Linked DNA regions of Drosophila melanogaster. The protein of the gene in region 1 interacts with the protein of each later gene in a pairwise test. Each region holds a gene or a part of one and is shown on either strand. Other genes may lie near its edges.

Region 1 (5,134 bases):
CCATCCTGAGGTATCTCATTTCGGTCATCCCTGCAAGAAAGCGAGAATGCGTTAGTGGGGCGGAACAGTGGAAACAACAACAAAAGCAGTAGCGGGACGGGGGTAAAAAATTTTCCAGCCACAATTGTTGGTTATGGCGAATGGCAGAAAAGCGAAAAGTAAGTAAGGCTGGTGGAGGGAGAATCGAAAACCGCGAGCGCCGCTTGGCAACCACTCACATTATCAACAATAAAGAATTGACTAGGTAAACTTATATCCTGAATTTCGACGGCTTGGGCCCGGTTCACTCAATCAACTGTTTGCCTATTTGTCTAGAACGAATAACGGAGAATTCGGGCCGAACGCCGACTGTGTTGTTTTCTCGAGCTATCGAGCGCTTTGCTTTTAGTCCGTTACGTTTGTGCTGCGATGCGCTCTGCGAAGCGGTGACTTTACGTATGAGACCGAAAGCGATAGCTAGGCAGCCTTTTTGAGCGACAAGCGGCGAGAGTCCGCCCCTGAGCGTGTGCGAGCGGGACGACCCTAGTGTCGTTCGTGTCAATGTCAACGGGCGAGAGCAGCCGAGCGATATTAGCACGTAACAGTGGCGCCAGTGTTGCCTAACACCAGTTGCGAATGGTAGTAGTTGATCGAAAATAGCAGTAGTTTTGACAGTACGGCGGGGTGGGGATAGAAAAAAAAAACCGACTGACAGGCAAATATTCCAAAGCAAATCGAAAATTGAGTTGGAGCAAGGCTAAATCAGCCCACGAATGCCGTCGTCCACTAAAGATAGAATCAGCGGTCTGCGTCATTGTCCAGTCATGAGTCAAGCGAACGGACGGACGAGAGTGCATAAAATCCAGTCAAGTGGCGACACCGACGTCACCGGACTTCAACAAAAGTCCCCAGTTCGGAGTTCTAGGTTTCGCCAAGGCGAAGGGGGAGGGGTGCAAAGACCGAGTCCAGCAACAAAACTCTCTTGGAGCAACCACTGCGCTCGCTCTCTCTCGCTCGCATGGTGGCTGCCTCTCACTCCCACTCCCTGCACTGTCATACGGGCGTGTAATTTTTTTCCACTCATTTTGACCGTCAGAAATTTAAAATCGCGTTTTTTGCATTAAAACACGCGGAAATTATGCTAAGCAGTTGCGGAATCGATGCGGCACAAGATCGCCTTGCGGCTTTTTACATTTCAAACGCTTAATCTAGGGTATATACTAACATTTTCTGAAAATTATTTGGCACTTTTTATACACGTGCTGCTACTGATTTGTTAAAACCAAGCAAAAGAGGCTCCATCTTGCAAAAGTTTTAGTGATGTAAGAAAACATTAGCGACTATCGATAGATCGATCGCCAACTATCGCCAGATGTTAGCGGATATCCGGCAATTTCGCTGCGGCTTCGCAGTGTGTATGGTAAAGAAAAACAAAGCATAAAATAATGCAAATATTTTGAATTCAATTTGTATTATTTTGCACTTTTTTACGTTATTTTGGAGGTGCCACTTGAAGTTCAGGGCTGCAGACCCAGAGCTGGGGTGCCTGACTTCGCTATTTTATTTGCTATCGATATTACGCCCATCAAAGTTTTCCACCAGTATAAATATTTAAACCCGAATCTTATATTTGTTTAATAAATTTGATTGTAATATTGTTTTCCAACAGATTACATTCTCTTGTTGTAAAGACTTAATTGTAGTATTCAACCATTTGAACAACAACCTTATGTGAATCATATTATACAAATATATGAAAGTATGGAATTTTACATATGCTGCTATTCAGTGAACTGTTTTTAAATCGTGGGACTGGAACCGGCCAGCTATTTGTCTTAGTAGCTTAACGATCAGTGTTGTTTTGAATCTTTTTGAGTTTAAGTACAGTAATCTTATCTCATAGTACTCGAATGTGGAAGTGAATTTAAACTTTTCATGCCGCTGGTCTAACCGGGACTTACGAAGGCAAATAGCGAATACAATCGATTGCGAGGAATATCGTGATCGAATTTTGGCACACATCGATTGTTTCGAGCGAACAGCGACTTGTGTTCCAGTACTACCGCTTGTCGACGGTCACTCTGAATTTTTACCGCAGCGTGTGAACAGTGTGAGTGCCGTGGGTTTCCTGGAAATCCGTTTAGAAAGAGATTTCTCTAGACTTACTGAACGTGGGGTGGTTCGACAAAAATCGAAAACCGACCAACACTTTGGGTAAATTGCGTACAAAGCGACTTTCGTGCTGGGTGCACGCCTTAAATGGCGAAAACCCACACATGTACGCGCTACTTGGCCAACCGCGTTGGCTGTGCGTCGCCGTCTGCGGGTGTGTGTGTGTGTATGCCTGTGTGTATAAGTGTGCAAAAAATTAAGTGGGAAAAGTTCAGCAGCAGCCGGTCGGTATTCGGCATACGGCATTCGGTACTCGGTATTCCATTCGATTTGTCAAGCAGCCAATGCTAACATATTGCGGGTGCGGTGCAGCGCAGCACATTATGATATGTGAGATGGGATTCGAACATATAGGCGTTGAAATTAAAGGCTATTTTTAATTTATGACAGTTACTCAGTGCCGGCCAACAAAGTGACGATTCATAACACTCACTCGGAGAGCCGCCGTTGAGTCATCGTCTGCTCTCACTCGCTCATTTGCATTGTCCGCAGCCGGCTGATTAATAACGGCCCGCCTCGTACGACCGTCTCGCTCACACACCCACTCCAGGCGCACCGTTGCACTCGCCCTGGCTACGGCTCTCGCTCGCTCACTCTCTGCCCCACTCGAAAGCAGTGGCAGTGGGTGAGTGAACGGGTGACTCACGGCTTGGAATTGAGCGCTTTGGAGCAGAGGCAAGGCAAGCAGCCCCCTGCAGCGCGCACTCTTTCGCCACTCTCTCTCCATCTCTCACTCTCTCGAGTGGGTTTTCTCGAATTCAAAATCGGTTTATGGTTCTGCTTTGCGCTCATTCGACTTTTGAAATCCGCCTCGAACGCTTCGAAAATTCCCAGCGAGTCGGACGTGTGTGTGGAGCTGCGGCGTACGGTTTCTGTTTCTGTCTGTCTTGGTCTCCTTGGTCTTGCTCTTGCTCTTGGTCTCATCCCCCGTGCGTGTGTGTGTATATATGTGAGTTTTTCGGAGGCGGAAAATTAGGCGCTTTGTGCAATGCATCACAATCAAAATCACTAGATATATATACTTATATGTATATACATAAATGTGCATAACACAATTCCGCCGATACCCGGTAATTTGTCAAGGGCGGATGCAACACCCACTGCCGCATGATAAAATACGATACGATTTGATAAATGTTAATCCATCTCTCTCTCTCTCTCTCTTTCTCCACCTCTCGTTGCAGTTGAAAGTAAGTTACCCCAAGAAAAAATCGTCGGTGTTGCGGTTTTTCTTTGTCTCCCTGCCAATTTCGTGTGACCCCCGAAACGAAAGTGCGACTCGCCGTGCGGTAAAGCAACAGCGATCCATATCCAGATCCATATATATCAGTTCAACTTAATCCGCACCCACGACAAACAAAGCACCATGAGCTGGCAAGATTATGTGGACAACCAACTCCTGGCCTCGCAGTGCGTGACCAAGGCGTGCATCGCCGGCCACGACGGCAACATTTGGGCGCAGTCCAGTGGCTTTGAGGTGAGTACGTCGAACGGAATGGACTAATGGACGGAAAGCGGTTGGGAAAACCCATAGAATGGAATTCGGACGGAAAAACGGATAGTTGACAATGAATTTTCGCAAGTTCAAGGGTGTGACTCTCGCGCTGTCTTCCTCTCGCGGCCGCCATGATAACTTTCATTTGATAAAGAGCAACTCCCACCCCTTCGCCCTCGCCCTTGTCAGTTTCACCCCCTGCAGCGCCACTCCTGCGCAGGCCCGCTACCCCCTCCTCTCCCGCCTACGCTTTTGAGGGAGTGTGCGTGATCATACAACCCAGCAGGGAGACCAATTGGGCGACCTAGCCGATACGGATGGATTTCTGTTTATCGGTGACTAAGGAGGTGCAGCTTCGCTTCGCGGTAATCACCAATGCACTTGCATGCGGCGATGAGTGTGTGGTGTGGAGAGCGGGGGCGGGGCCGGGACCGGGAAATCTGATATCAGCGCAGCCGGTTCGAATGTCTGCGGTGCTGTGCAACACTGGTTCCTGATAATGCAGCCCACAGGCGCCTGGCATCAGCCCCACCCCTTCGCTATCGCTCGCCTTTATCGCACTCAATACAGACGGACCGTTTCCTCTGCGGCGACGGCCAAAATAAATGCTCTTTATCGGAGCGAAATACAGAACCAAACAGAACAGAACCAAAATGAAACGAACAGAAGTACAGAAAATATCTTGAGCATGCGATGCCGCGTCACCAGCGCAGAGTGAATCGAATTGAGTGGAGTTGACTCCGCTTCGGCTTCTTTTACTGATTTCGATTCTGAATCTGAATCTGCTACCTTCGAATGCGAATGCTCTGAGTATTTCTCGTATGCGCGCCACGTTTTCGCCCTTTTGTGAGTGTGGCTGTCTGTGTGCGTGTGCAACTTCCTGTCGACTCCGAATCCGAATACAAATACGAATCCATGTGCTCTTATCCTGCTCGCTCTCCCAGCGAGATTCCACTCGATTCGGGCAGCCACTCCCTAGTGCTTTGTCCGTCGAATGAAGTTCATCTCGCCGCTTATTAGATTAGGAACCGATTTTGGCCAAATTCGATCCGCTGCCTACGTCACCTCACCATCACACTCATTCTTTTATCTACCTGCCATTTCTGCACGCGCATCACTTTCGTTTTATTATCTCTCGCTGCCTTCGCAGGTGCCTTTGTTGTTTTTCCCAACTTCGCATTACCCAAGTTACCCAGTTTTGATCTTGATTCGGATGAATCATTGTGAATACTTAGCTTTTTCCTTTTCCGATTGATCAGCTGAGCTGGACCTTGTGAGAGAGTTGTGTTTTTGGGCTGCTAATAAAAGTTTATGATAAACACATTTATATACATGGCTTTGCATTGAGAAAACCGACTTTGGGTGACAGAATCTGAGTGCCATCGTGTGGCATGTTCATTCATTGAAAAACTACCAATTTAGGAGATTTTTGGCACTTGTGGAATTTTCGCTATCGCCGCATAATGAGCTCCGCTTAGTTATTAACGT
Region 2 (3,870 bases), on another chromosome or scaffold:
TATTTACTTCTATATATTTATATTTTATTTTCATGCTAACCATAAATACTTCTTTCTCGGTGTAGAACCAGAAGTGAGGAGCTCCGGGAATCGGTTATTTTGTTTCAAGCTGATTTAGATTATTTTCGGTTCTCGACTTTCGCCGAGATAAGCAAAATAATTCGTTCTTCGGCGTTGATAAGTCTGTCTCCGTTGTGGGTACAGTGAGCACTCGAGCGAGGGCCAATGTCGGCCATTGACGAATGGAGTTTGATAAACAATCAAGAATATTTGAATGCGTGAGCTATGTAAGTAAGTATATGTGCTGGTGCTGCGAAGATCTTGGAGAAGAAAAGAGCACTCAGATATCTTTTCGATGAGTGATTCGACTTAGCTAAAACTAGTTTTACGCTCTTTCCCACTCATAGTTCCCTAATATGCGCAGATCGTTTTCTAGTATTCACTACATATGATATGTCAGAAGAATATAAGAAACATATCACAATAAATAAACCAAAACTCCTTTTATTATGCTTTATTGATTTCCATTGAAATAGACACATTTATATAATTATCTTGGCTTCGTTCATGTTTTTTGTTTTTCTTTTGTTTCTTGAATATCTGTCGTTTAAAATACAAAGTATTCAAAGTTGCTCAGTTTGATGCCTTTAATTCAGTACATAGTATACGAAGGACTTTTCATCTTATACATACATGTATATATATTGATAGTTCCTGGATCTAGCAAAAGTTTAAAAAGTTGTTACTCGCCCGCGCCGTCGCTTCGATATCCAACAACATCTAAATACAAGTATGTAATAATGTAAGTGTAATTGCAATGGAACGTTTACTTTACTGACTCAATATCCTGATCCCTTCCGCAGGACCTTCGATCAACATCTATGCGACATCTATGCTTTATGCTCATTATGCGGCTATTCTCGTACTTGTCTCACATTTTTTTTAGGTTTTTCGTTTGTTTTTTTTTTTTTGTTTTGTTTTGTTTTTGGTTTTACCTCAGTTTTACAACATTAATTTTAATTACAAAAGTTATTAAATAATACAAAATACAGTTAGAGTTTACAGTTCTCCATTTCGTCTAGAAACATCTCGCTTTTAACTTTTAGTTGAAATTAATGCACGAATAAACAGAATAATTGGATTATGAATTACAGAACACTCGAAACAAACTCAGAACTCGGAAACGAAACAAAAGCAAGAGTTGGGTTGGGTTGGGTTGGGGGAATCCCCCCCTAGCAGCGGAAATTAGTGGCAAAATTGTAACAAAGAAACTACGGATGAGCCATTTAGCCTGGCCACGCTTAGGTTACATAATGGTTTTATAGTTAATAATATTACGTTTAAGCAGAGTCCGTCGGTGGAACACCACCGACCAACTGTCTAACTCTTTTAGAGCAGGGCGCACTTGCGCTTGGACTTGGGCTGCAGCACGGGGCACAAAACCGACCGGATGGCCTCGTCGAAAACGGTTTTCAGACCCTTCTGCGTCAGGGCCGAGCACTCCAGATACTTGACCGCTCCGATTTCCTTGGCCATGGCCAGGCCCTGCGGATAGGTGATGGGCGCCAGTTTCTTGTCCCTCAGCTTTTCGATTGTGTTCTTGTCGTCGCGCAAATCCAGCTTGGTGCCCACCAGGATGATGGGCGTGCTGGGGCAGTGGTGGCGCACCTCCGGATACCACTTGGCCCGCACGTTCTCGAACGATGCCGGATTCACCAGCGAGAAGCAGATGAGGAAGACATCGGTCTGGGGATAAGACAGTGGCCTCAGTCGGTCGTAGTCCTCCTGCCCGGCCGTATCCCACAGGCCCAGGTTGATGGGCTTGGCGTCCACCATCACGTTGGCCGAGTAGTTGTCGAACACGGTGGGTATGTACTCGCCGGGAAAGGCATTGGTCGTGTAGCTGATCAGCAGGCAGGTCTTTCCCACGGCTCCGTCGCCCACGACGACGCACTTGATCGCCTGCATGGTTCGATTTCCTCGACTTTCTGGACTGGAGTGCTATGTGCCTAGAGATTGGAGATTGAAGATTGCAGATTTCTGATTGCGGGGGTGCTTCTTCTTCAGGCGTTTTTGGTTCTTTTTGGGGCGGCGGCGGAGGACTGTTGCTTGCGTGGGTCCTTTTGCGGGGTTATCTCTGGAAGCGCGACTCCTTTTCCAGTGCCTTGTGGTCCTCGGGGCGACTGATGATCGCGCCTTACGTTCTGGGCCTCTTTAACTCGCGTTTTGTGCGTTAATTTCCCTAATTTTCTCAACAAAAAAAGTAAATTTTCTGTGTACTGCAGTGTGACCGCGGCTGGACTGTTCAAATTTACCATGGGAAAGCTGTAAAATACTAAAACAAATTAAAACTGCATTGAAATGGTCACCCTAAGATTTGTAAATTATTTCAAGGCTTCGTCCTTAAAGCAAACATAAAACCCTTAAGTTTCGCATTTACTTATAATTAAATCCGAATTACAAAATATATAATTTCATTGTCTTCCTGTTTATGTCAGTGATTTGAAGTGAGAACAAGCTGTTTTTAGTAGGGCTGGGCCCCAGAAGTGCAGCTTCTGGGCTTTGGCTGCACCTGGTCACACTTCTGGCAGCAAATAATACAATTTCGAAAATTAGAATTTATTTGCTGCTCAATAGCCAAGTCAATAACACCTGTTCCTTGCCCATCCAGAATGTCTGACGTGTTCATCGTGTCCGCCGCCCGCACGCCCATTGGTAAAACCAAGATAAATCGGCTGCACCATACACGATAACCACATTCTAATTGGAAACTTTCTCTTCGTGTTTGTCCAATCTGAAAAATCAACAGGTAGCTTCAATGGAACGCTTTCTAAACTGAAGGCCTCCGACCTGGGCAGCGTGGTCATCCAGGAGGTACTCCGGCGGGCGAATGTGGAGGGCCAGGAGGTCAACGAAGTCATCTTGGGCCAGGTGGGACCCATATCATAACTGTTTCTCCTCCTATCTTACCGATCTATTTGTTATGTAAATATCTTTGTTAGGCTCTAAGCGCCGGTCAGGGTCAGAATCCAGCACGTCAGGCTTCACTCAAGGCGGGTCTGCCCATTCAGGTGCCAGCCTACGGCATAAACATGCTATGTGGTTCCGGCTTAAAGTGAGTTTGTCCCGTACAATTCCGTACATTTACAATGGTTTTTACCATTTCCAGAACTGTAGCGCTGGGTTACCAGGCCATCCGCTCGGGAGACGCACAGATTGTTGTGGCAGGAGGTCAGGAGAGCATGTCCCTGGCTCCACACGTCATGCATCTGCGGCAGGGCGTCAAAATGGGTCCGGGCACTATGGTGGACTCGATGATCCACGACGGCCTAACCGATGCCATGGAGAACATACACATGGGCATCACTGCCGAGAATCTGGCCGATAAGTATAACATCAGTCGTGAGGCCCAGGATGCCTATGCCGTGCTGTCGCAAAATCGAGCCGAGGAGGCCCAAAAAAAGGGTTACTTCGACAAGGAGATTGTGCCCGTGGAGATCAAGGATCGCAAGGGTACGACCACATTCAGCAAGGATGAGTACATCAAGGCGGGCAGCACCGTCGAGGGTATACAGAAGCTCAGGGCAGCCTTCAAAGAGGTGGGTCTAAGATAAATACAAGAAGAGCGAGAGTTAACCCACTTTCTCTTGCTTATGTAGGGCGGCTCTATAACCGCTGGCAATGCCTCAGGCGTCAACGACTCCGCTGCTGCCGTACTACTGATGTCCGGCGAGGAGGTGGCCAGGAAGGGTCTTAAGCCGCTGGCTAGGATTGTGGGCTGGACTCAGAGTGGCATTGAGCCAAAGGTGATGGGACTGGGACCAGTCACAGCTGTGGAAGCATTGGTAGTTACACGGAAATTCCACTTCT
Region 3 (7,765 bases), on another chromosome or scaffold:
TTGTGGTTTGCAACACCTTATAAGATCAACATAAATGTTGAAACTAACTGAGCACGGATTTTCTCGCAGTGCAGGCACGGCAGGAAGCGCTCCTCCCGTGACGAGTTCATCGCGCAGTGATATTCGATATTGATTGAGACCCCCACTTGTCCCCCAGCACTTCTTGATGTTTGCCATGGGCAAACTGTTTTGAGTCTCCTGACTGCCTGGCAACCTACTTTGTGACTCCGCTGCTCACATGTGTGGGCCCTGTTTGTTTTTATGATTTTTTTTTTTCCAGTCCGATGTCTGCCTGCGGGTCTTTATGGACAGCCATATGGATTACTCCAGTACTCGCATTCGTAGTGCCCCTTAGAAATATTTAGTTGCCAAATCATTTAAGCCGCGGCACACGCTCTGGTCCAAAAAAAAAAAAAAACAAAACAAAAATGGTAAAAAAAAAAAACGAACTGAACCATTCTGACAGAGCCATTAAAGCTAGCCGGTAATCGGTTGGCTCAAATCAGAGATCGGTGAACCACCAACAGCCACTACACAACCACTTACAATGGGCCACAATAATGTTAATTGGAAATAACGTTTAGGAATTGTTGTGGGGCAAAAAACCGAATCAGACTGAAACATAAGCCAGCGAGTCAGAAACAGAGGCTCAGATCTCTGAGAGCTGAGTGCTCCAAGTTGAGATAGACAATGTTGTATATGAATTTTTCATAACATGCTACAAGCTGTGCCTCCAGGTACCTCCCCCCCCCCATTTCCCGCCGCCGTCGCCGCTTTTCGCCGCCAAAGAACAGTTGAAATGAAGGAAACAAAAACGCAGCGAGCGAGGGAAAAATACTTGTAATAGTCACTCGAGGGGGAAATATAAATTATTGAGCTCGTTTCTTAAGTAATTATCGCACTGACGGACGGAACCAACTTACTGAATCACAAACACTGACCGAATGACTAACTGGCGGATGGACAGACTGACCAACTGGTTAAACGACGGTCACGAGACGTCGGCGAGGCTTCAAGATTGCCGGCAGAAAAAAGCCTCGGGCGCAACTTTGTAAGATTCGAGAGCTTATCGCATACCCTTCGAAACTGCATAAGAAATTTGAGATGGAACTTGCGCAATTTCATAGCTAGGCGAAAAGTTGTAAGGGTATGCCCTACAATTCATTGTATCATTGTAGCTCTCTGAAGATATTGCATATTTTAGGGAAACTGCTTGAAACTCTGTTTCAGTGCCTGAAAACTTCTCAAAATATAAACTTTTGAGTATTAAAATAAAATCGCCTTTCAATAATCTGAATCTTACATCCTTCCCTCAACGAAAATCGTGTAAAACGAGAACGTTTTTTCTCAATAGGTTCTATGCAGACTACTTGCCCTCACGTCTTTTAATTGTCATGCCATTTGGGAATCGTCTGAAGCGACTGTGAGTCAGGTTGTGGTCTCTCCATCTACCTGGCCATTATGCTCGGTTCCCAGCTCGGGGTCAATCCAGCTCAACATCCATAGCACATCTCATCATTTCTCATTATTTTATTGACTTTGAAGTGTAATTATTTGCCTTTTAGACGAATTCAAAGCGCAGCAGCCGCTAAAATGAGAGAAAAATACAGATTGTGAGCCGATACTCAGTTTCTCGCTCACGTCTTTTCTGCTCATTCGCCTTTAGATATATTTTTTTTCTCGGCTTTTGTTTGTCTTGGCCTCGACTGAGAGACCGTTTCGGTCTCTGAGACCCAGTCGCGATCTCGGTCTGGATCTTGGCTTTAGTCTCCAGCGGGTCTTGAGTGCGTTCAGACGTGTGCAGCTGAGATCTTGGAACGACGAATGGTGATCGGTGATCTCTGATCAGTGACCAGTGGGCAGAGAGCGAATAGCCAAGATCCAAGAGCCTAGGCAAACATAAATACGATACATCCGATCCGATCCGATCGTTCGGTTTCATAGTGTGCTTAAGTGTGGGATCGATCGTGGGATCTGTTTAGTGTCTGTGACGCCTCTGCAAATATTGGCCAACGGTTAATGGCCATGAAGAAGCTCTACGCGAAGACCTCGTTCACCAGCAAGAAGCCATCGAGTGCCGCCAATTCCACTCCGATATTGGCCTACCACCAGCAACAGCATCAGCAGCCGGGCAATGGCATTTGCGAGTTCCAGGTGGTGGCACCTGGTCACTCCGGTGAGCTAATGATACGCCGCAGCCAAAGTATGCACCACAAGATGTCGCCTCCAGTCGGCGGCCTGGGCTCCAAGTCGGAGTACTACAGCATTGAGGAGCTGCAGGAGCTGGATTTGCTGGACTATCGTCATCCCATGTACCATCATTATCAGCAGCAGGAGCTGAGGCAGCGCTACCATGAGCACGAGCAGTTGGTGCTGCAGTTACCCAAGGCTACTAGTCCAAAGGCAGGACCCATCTATGAGGCACCACAGAGATCTCAGCAGCAGCAGGATCAGATGTTGTATGTACCAACGGCAGCGCAAAGAGATTCATCATCAAGTGCTGCAGCCACATCTATAGCCAGCTCATCTACCCTAACTTCATCCCCATCGCCATCCTCCTCTTCATCTCTGATCTTTTCCACTTTGCGCAAATGCGTTTCGCCCTCGAATCCCTCGGTGAATCCGAACCAACCCTCAAAAACTCAACCCTCCAAACTGGGCTGTTCCATGTCGTTTTCAATTAGAACGACAACGGCAACAGCAGCCACAGCCGCAGCAGCAAATGCAGCAACAGCAACACTATCGACACAGCAGCAACAACAGCAGGCACAGCAGCAACACAAGCAACATCTCTATAGCAACATACATCATTATCTGATCCGACAACAACAGCAGAAACAACACTACACATTACAACGTCGCCATAATTCGGTCAAAGATAAATTCATTGGGGGCATTACAACGATTTTTGCGTATGTGTAACCCACTTCCCTATGCGTCTGTCCTTGGTTGGGTTCTGTAATAATTCCCATATTTCCCCACTTTTCTCTACTATACTTCTTCAATCTCAGCACGTAGTACTTGGCCCTGGACTTTTGAATGCGTTTTACAGCTTGGTGAGATCGTTCGTAAATCAAAGAACTCTTAACCCCCACAGAGCAGCCGCCGTCGTACTCTCCGGTTTAATCATAATTATAATTTAACGCCAATTAAGCTGGAAAACGCTATCGTGTGCACACGAATCTGCATCTTGCACTCGGCTGCAGTTTAAAAACTTAAGCTTAACGCACGAATAAATCCCCAAGGCATAGAAAATTTCACCTGCCACATATTGAAAATGCTCCCAAAGCGATTTTCCAGTGGCTCAATTATATTAGCATCCCATTTAACTGGCCATTTGCGGGGCACTTTTCGATTTTCATTTGGGTTTTCCACTCAGCTGCACAGCGCAAAAAAACGATTAAGATGTTAGTTTTTACTGAAATATTTAATTGCTTTCTTTAACGATTAAAATACTATGTATCACATGTGTCGATTTTACGATTCATGAACTCATTTCCATTTCTTTACAATCTAATGTAATTAAAACAGTCGTACAGTTCTATGATTGTAGCTTAAATCTCGGAATTGGCACGTTTAATAGGCACTTATTACGTGTAAAATCGAATGAAAGCATTTATGCACTGAATGTTAGTCACAAAATGCATTACTAATCCCAACTACTTTGCTGCTGCGAACTACTGAAATAATTTTAGTTGCATTAAAATTGTTTAAAAGAGTACAACACTTTTACAAAAGCAATTCTTTTGCTCACTCCGACTTCCTATAATTATTTTCGAATATGTAGTATCCAATTTATGAGATATAAATCGATTCGATTGTAAAAAACAGAAATTTAAAAAAACTGATTGACCGCTATTGTTTCGCAGTTTCTCATAGTGTGCAGAAAAAAAAAACTTCACTTTCGTTGCCACGAATTTCGATGCAAATCAAAGCGGACAGGCTCATAAGACTTAGCTCCAAACTGTCGGTGGTTATATAAGGCCCTGAAACGGCGCACAGCTGTGCCAGCCGCCAGAGTGCGACTCGGATTCGGATTGAGATTCGTCCGTCTGTCCAGCCGTCCGTACCGCCGATCTGCGCACTCCATTTAAGTGCAAAACTACTTGCGGCTTTTGGCCGGGCCAAGTCTGTAGCGAGAATACTGCCGACTCGACTCGTTTGGCGGCTGCTCTCCGTCATTATCTCTATGTGTCCCCCAGTAACACACAACTCGGAGCAACTTGGAGCAACTTGGAGCTGCTCAGGCAACTTGGAGCGGTGCAGGCTAGCAAAAACAAAAAAAGGGGCAGAGAAAAAAAGAAAAAAAAAAAGAACGGAGCTATAGGATAGAAAGAACACCACATAGCCAAGTTGAGCAAAAGGCAAGGCAACTCGTCATCGCCTTTGCATTTTTCCAATGAAGGCGTTCATTTGTCGCTGGCCATGTTTACTTCACTGGCTGACTTTAATTGTCAACTCAACTGAGTGTCCCGGGGGGAGAAAATGCTAAAGGTTGAATGCAGCATATACACGTTCATATTAGAACTTTCATTAGAATCATTTAATCGGTCCGTGCGACTCGAGACGATCATCTGGCTGGATGACAGGTGTGCGGGCATACAAAGAAATGCATTGCACTTCCTGTCCTGAAACCGATGGGATTAGAGGGGAGTCGAGGGTATACATAGATCAAAGCCCTTGCTCACTTGAGGCGTGTGAAAAGTCTGGAAGATCACGGTGCAGTAAAGTGCAGTTGAATGAGTTCTTCAAGGGGCAAATTGTAGAGCCGATCTAATGATCTGAAAACGACTGCTCATTGCGACATTCTTTCTGGGAAGTCTTAATCGAGTCTAAGAAGTTTTTTTTATTATGACGGAAAATCGATTTCTATGAATATATGTAGAAGCTTTCCATAGAACAATATATACTTTTTACTTCCAATCCCACGAAAGCCATCAATAAATTTGTATCTCTTTTATTGAACTCGTTTAGTGCAAATAATAAAGTTGCCAAATTTGACTAATTTGTTAGCACAACTTCCGTTTCGTTTCCCACGATCTTTTAAGACTTTAAAAGAGTTAACATCATAAAATGGAATTTTTGTACATACATATATGTTTCTCGCACATTTTCATATCTTTTCTTCTCAAGGCAAGGGCTATTCCCTATAATAAATTTTCAGCTCGAACTTCTTGAAGTGTGTTAAGTCCTCATCATTTCCATACACATTCAAGGTTCCATTCCATACCATTTAAGTCAGCCAACTAACCATAATATTCACACTTATTTCTTGCAGTGAGCAGAGTATTATCGGGGCGCGGGCCTCTGTGATGGTGTACGATGACAACCAGAAGAAGTGGGTGCCATCGGGCAGCTCGTCGGGATTGAGCAAGGTGCAGATCTACCACCACCAGCAGAACAACACGTTCCGTGTGGTGGGACGAAAGCTGCAGGATCACGAGGTGGTCATCAACTGCTCCATTCTGAAGGGACTGAAGTACAATCAGGCCACGGCAACATTTCATCAGTGGCGCGATTCGAAATTCGTTTACGGCTTGAACTTCTCGAGCCAAAATGATGCGGAGAACTTTGCTAGGGCCATGATGCATGCCCTGGAAGTAAGTATATCTCTTTCACAACCAATATCTGTATCATTCGCTAACATTTGAATGTCTTTCTCAGGTGCTCAGTGGTCGCGTGGCGAACAACCCAGGTGGACCGCCCACAAATGGCAATGGCTATGAGGAGGACATGGGCTATCGCACGATGACCAGCGAGGATGCAGCCATACTGCGTCAGAACAACAGCATAGGTGGGCACGTCACGCCCTCGGCCCAGACGCCCACCTCGCAGACCAACCAGAATAACATCCCCCAGAGCCCGCCGACGCCCCAGGGTCATCATCGCACCAGCAGGTAGGCTCCATTTCCATTAATTGTGTTGGATACGGCATGCTCATTGCTGTGGAAAAACCCATTAGCTTAGACTCGATTGATCTAACCATTCAAGAAATATTCAATTTTATGAGAATAAGTCATTAGCACATATTGGTCGGAAGGAACATCAGTTTTCTTTGAACATTATAAAGCTGAAAATCCGTGGTTGTTATAAATGAATCCTAAGATCAAAAATTTCATTAGTCTTCAGATGCAGATACATTTTCTTGCAAGATATGTAATGTAGGATACAATTGTAGGATTGCATTACGCAAGTTGGGAACAATTTCTATCCACTTACACATGAGCAGTAGGGGCCAACACTTTTATCCGAGTTCTCGTGTCTCATCTCTCATATCACTCATTGATCCATCCCCATCCCACGCCGAACCTTTGCTCACCCAAAAAGGAATTCCCTCAGCGCCCCACCGGCACCACAGCCCCAACAGCAGCAGCAGCAGCAGCAGGCGCAGCAAATGGGTCAGCCAGGATCCCACTATGGACCCACTGGAAATGGACCCACTTCGAATGGCCTGCCACAGCAGGTGAACTCACAGATTCCGCCGGCACCGCAGCAGCAGCCACAACAGCAACAGTTTCAGCAGCAGCAGCAGCAACAGCAATATCAGCAAATGGTCCAGGCGGGCTATGCGCCCTCTCAGGTGAGTTCGATATGCTATAACCTCACCCCGTCCCAGTTTCCTCATGCGGTATTTCTGTTTCATTTCATTGGCAAATTGGCTTGATCCTGAATCTGAATCTCCTGAAAACCCCGACACACCACCACCATCACACCCCAACAGCAGTATCAGCAACCCCACTACGTGCTCTCCAATTCTAATCCCAATCTAACTGTGCACCAATACCCGACACAGCAGGCGCAGCAGCAGCCACCGCAAGCGCCACAGCCGCCGCTCCAGAACGGTGGAATGTACATGGTGGGTCATGGTCATCTACCGAGCTCCGCGAGCGCCAACAGTGTTGTGTACGCCAGCCAGCAGCAGATGCTCCCGCAGGCGCATCCACAGGCACCTCAGGCGCCGACGATGCCAGGTCCGGGCTACGGTGGTCCACCAGTACCTCCGCCCCAGCAGCAGGCAGAGAATCCGTACGGTCAGGTACCCATGCCGCCGCCAATGAATCCGTCACAGCAACAGCAGCCAGGTCAGGTGCCTCTAAACCGGATGAGCAGCCAGGGTGGTCCAGGTGGCCCACCGGCTCCTGCTCCGCCCCCGCCACCACCCAGTTTTGGTGGAGCTGCTGGAGGAGGACCACCACCACCAGCCCCGCCACAGATGTTCAACGGCGCACCGCCGCCGCCAGCCATGGGCGGTGGACCACCGCCGGCTCCACCGGCACCGCCAGCAATGGGTGGCGGACCACCGCCAGCACCGGGCGGACCAGGGGCACCACCACCACCGCCTCCGCCGCCGGGATTGGGAGGAGCGCCTAAGAAGGAAGATCCCCAGGCAGATCTCATGGGCTCGCTGGCCTCCCAGCTGCAGCAGATCAAGCTCAAAAAGAATAAGGTAAAATATCAATTTATTTAATTTATACAACTTGACTAAGCATTGTATTACCGTTTATTTTTTATTTTTAGGTCACCACCTCTGCTCCGGAGAATAGCGGCAGCAGCACGTCCAGTGGCGGCAGCGGCAACTATGGAACCATAGGACGAAGCTCTAATGGCATGGCCTCCATGATGGACGAGATGGCCAAGACGCTGGCACGACGACGCGCCCAAGCAGAAAAGAAGGATGTAAGTCAACTTTGTTTAACTTATTCCATAATCAATATCTTAATTCGTTGGCATATTGCAGCCCGATCCTGAAGCCGAAGTGAAAAAA

What was found. The genes of interacting proteins can lie anywhere in the genome.
Region 2: the proteins of chic (region 1) and Rac1 interact in binary tests that used the Drosophila melanogaster proteins (3 or more experiments, as listed by UniProt).
Region 3: the proteins of chic (region 1) and ena interact in binary tests that used the Drosophila melanogaster proteins (3 or more experiments, as listed by UniProt).

Annotation. Positions count from the first base shown.
Region 1 is NT_033779.5:5,977,906-5,983,039, reverse strand, and holds the start of chic (chickadee), read left to right. Parts: upstream 1-2,021; 5' UTR 2,022-2,087; exon of another isoform or gene 2,088-2,193; intron 2,194-2,558; exon of another isoform or gene 2,559-2,831; intron 2,832-2,938; exon of another isoform or gene 2,939-3,100; intron 3,101-3,335; 5' UTR 3,336-3,517; coding exon 3,518-3,628; intron 3,629-5,134. Other genes in the region: eIF4A (eukaryotic translation initiation factor 4A), read right to left, coding at 1-30, 1,205-1,206. UniProt on the Drosophila melanogaster protein: Binds to actin and affects the structure of the cytoskeleton. At high concentrations, profilin prevents the polymerization of actin, whereas it enhances it at low concentrations. By binding to PIP2, it may inhibit the formation of IP3 and DG.
Region 2 is NT_037436.4:1,300,379-1,304,248, forward strand, and holds Rac1 (Rac1), read right to left. Parts: upstream 2,306-3,870; 5' UTR 1,969-2,305; coding exon 1,390-1,968; 3' UTR 501-1,389; downstream 1-500. Other genes in the region: Acat2 (Acetyl-CoA acetyltransferase 2), read left to right, coding at 2,673-2,715, 2,810-2,931, 3,003-3,115, 3,170-3,599, 3,660-3,845. UniProt on the Drosophila melanogaster protein: During various developmental processes, regulates changes in cell morphology in response to extracellular signals.
Region 3 is NT_033778.4:19,153,456-19,161,220, forward strand, and holds the start of ena (enabled), read left to right. Parts: upstream 1-1,765; 5' UTR 1,766-2,019; coding exon 2,020-2,912; intron 2,913-5,278; coding exon 5,279-5,600; intron 5,601-5,664; coding exon 5,665-5,897; intron 5,898-6,327; coding exon of another isoform or gene 6,328-6,339; coding exon 6,340-6,580; intron 6,581-6,721; coding exon 6,722-7,447; intron 7,448-7,518; coding exon 7,519-7,677; intron 7,678-7,738; coding exon 7,739-7,765. UniProt on the Drosophila melanogaster protein: Functions, together with Abl, trio and fra, in a complex signaling network that regulates axon guidance at the CNS midline. Required in part for robo-mediated repulsive axon guidance. May be involved in lamellipodial dynamics.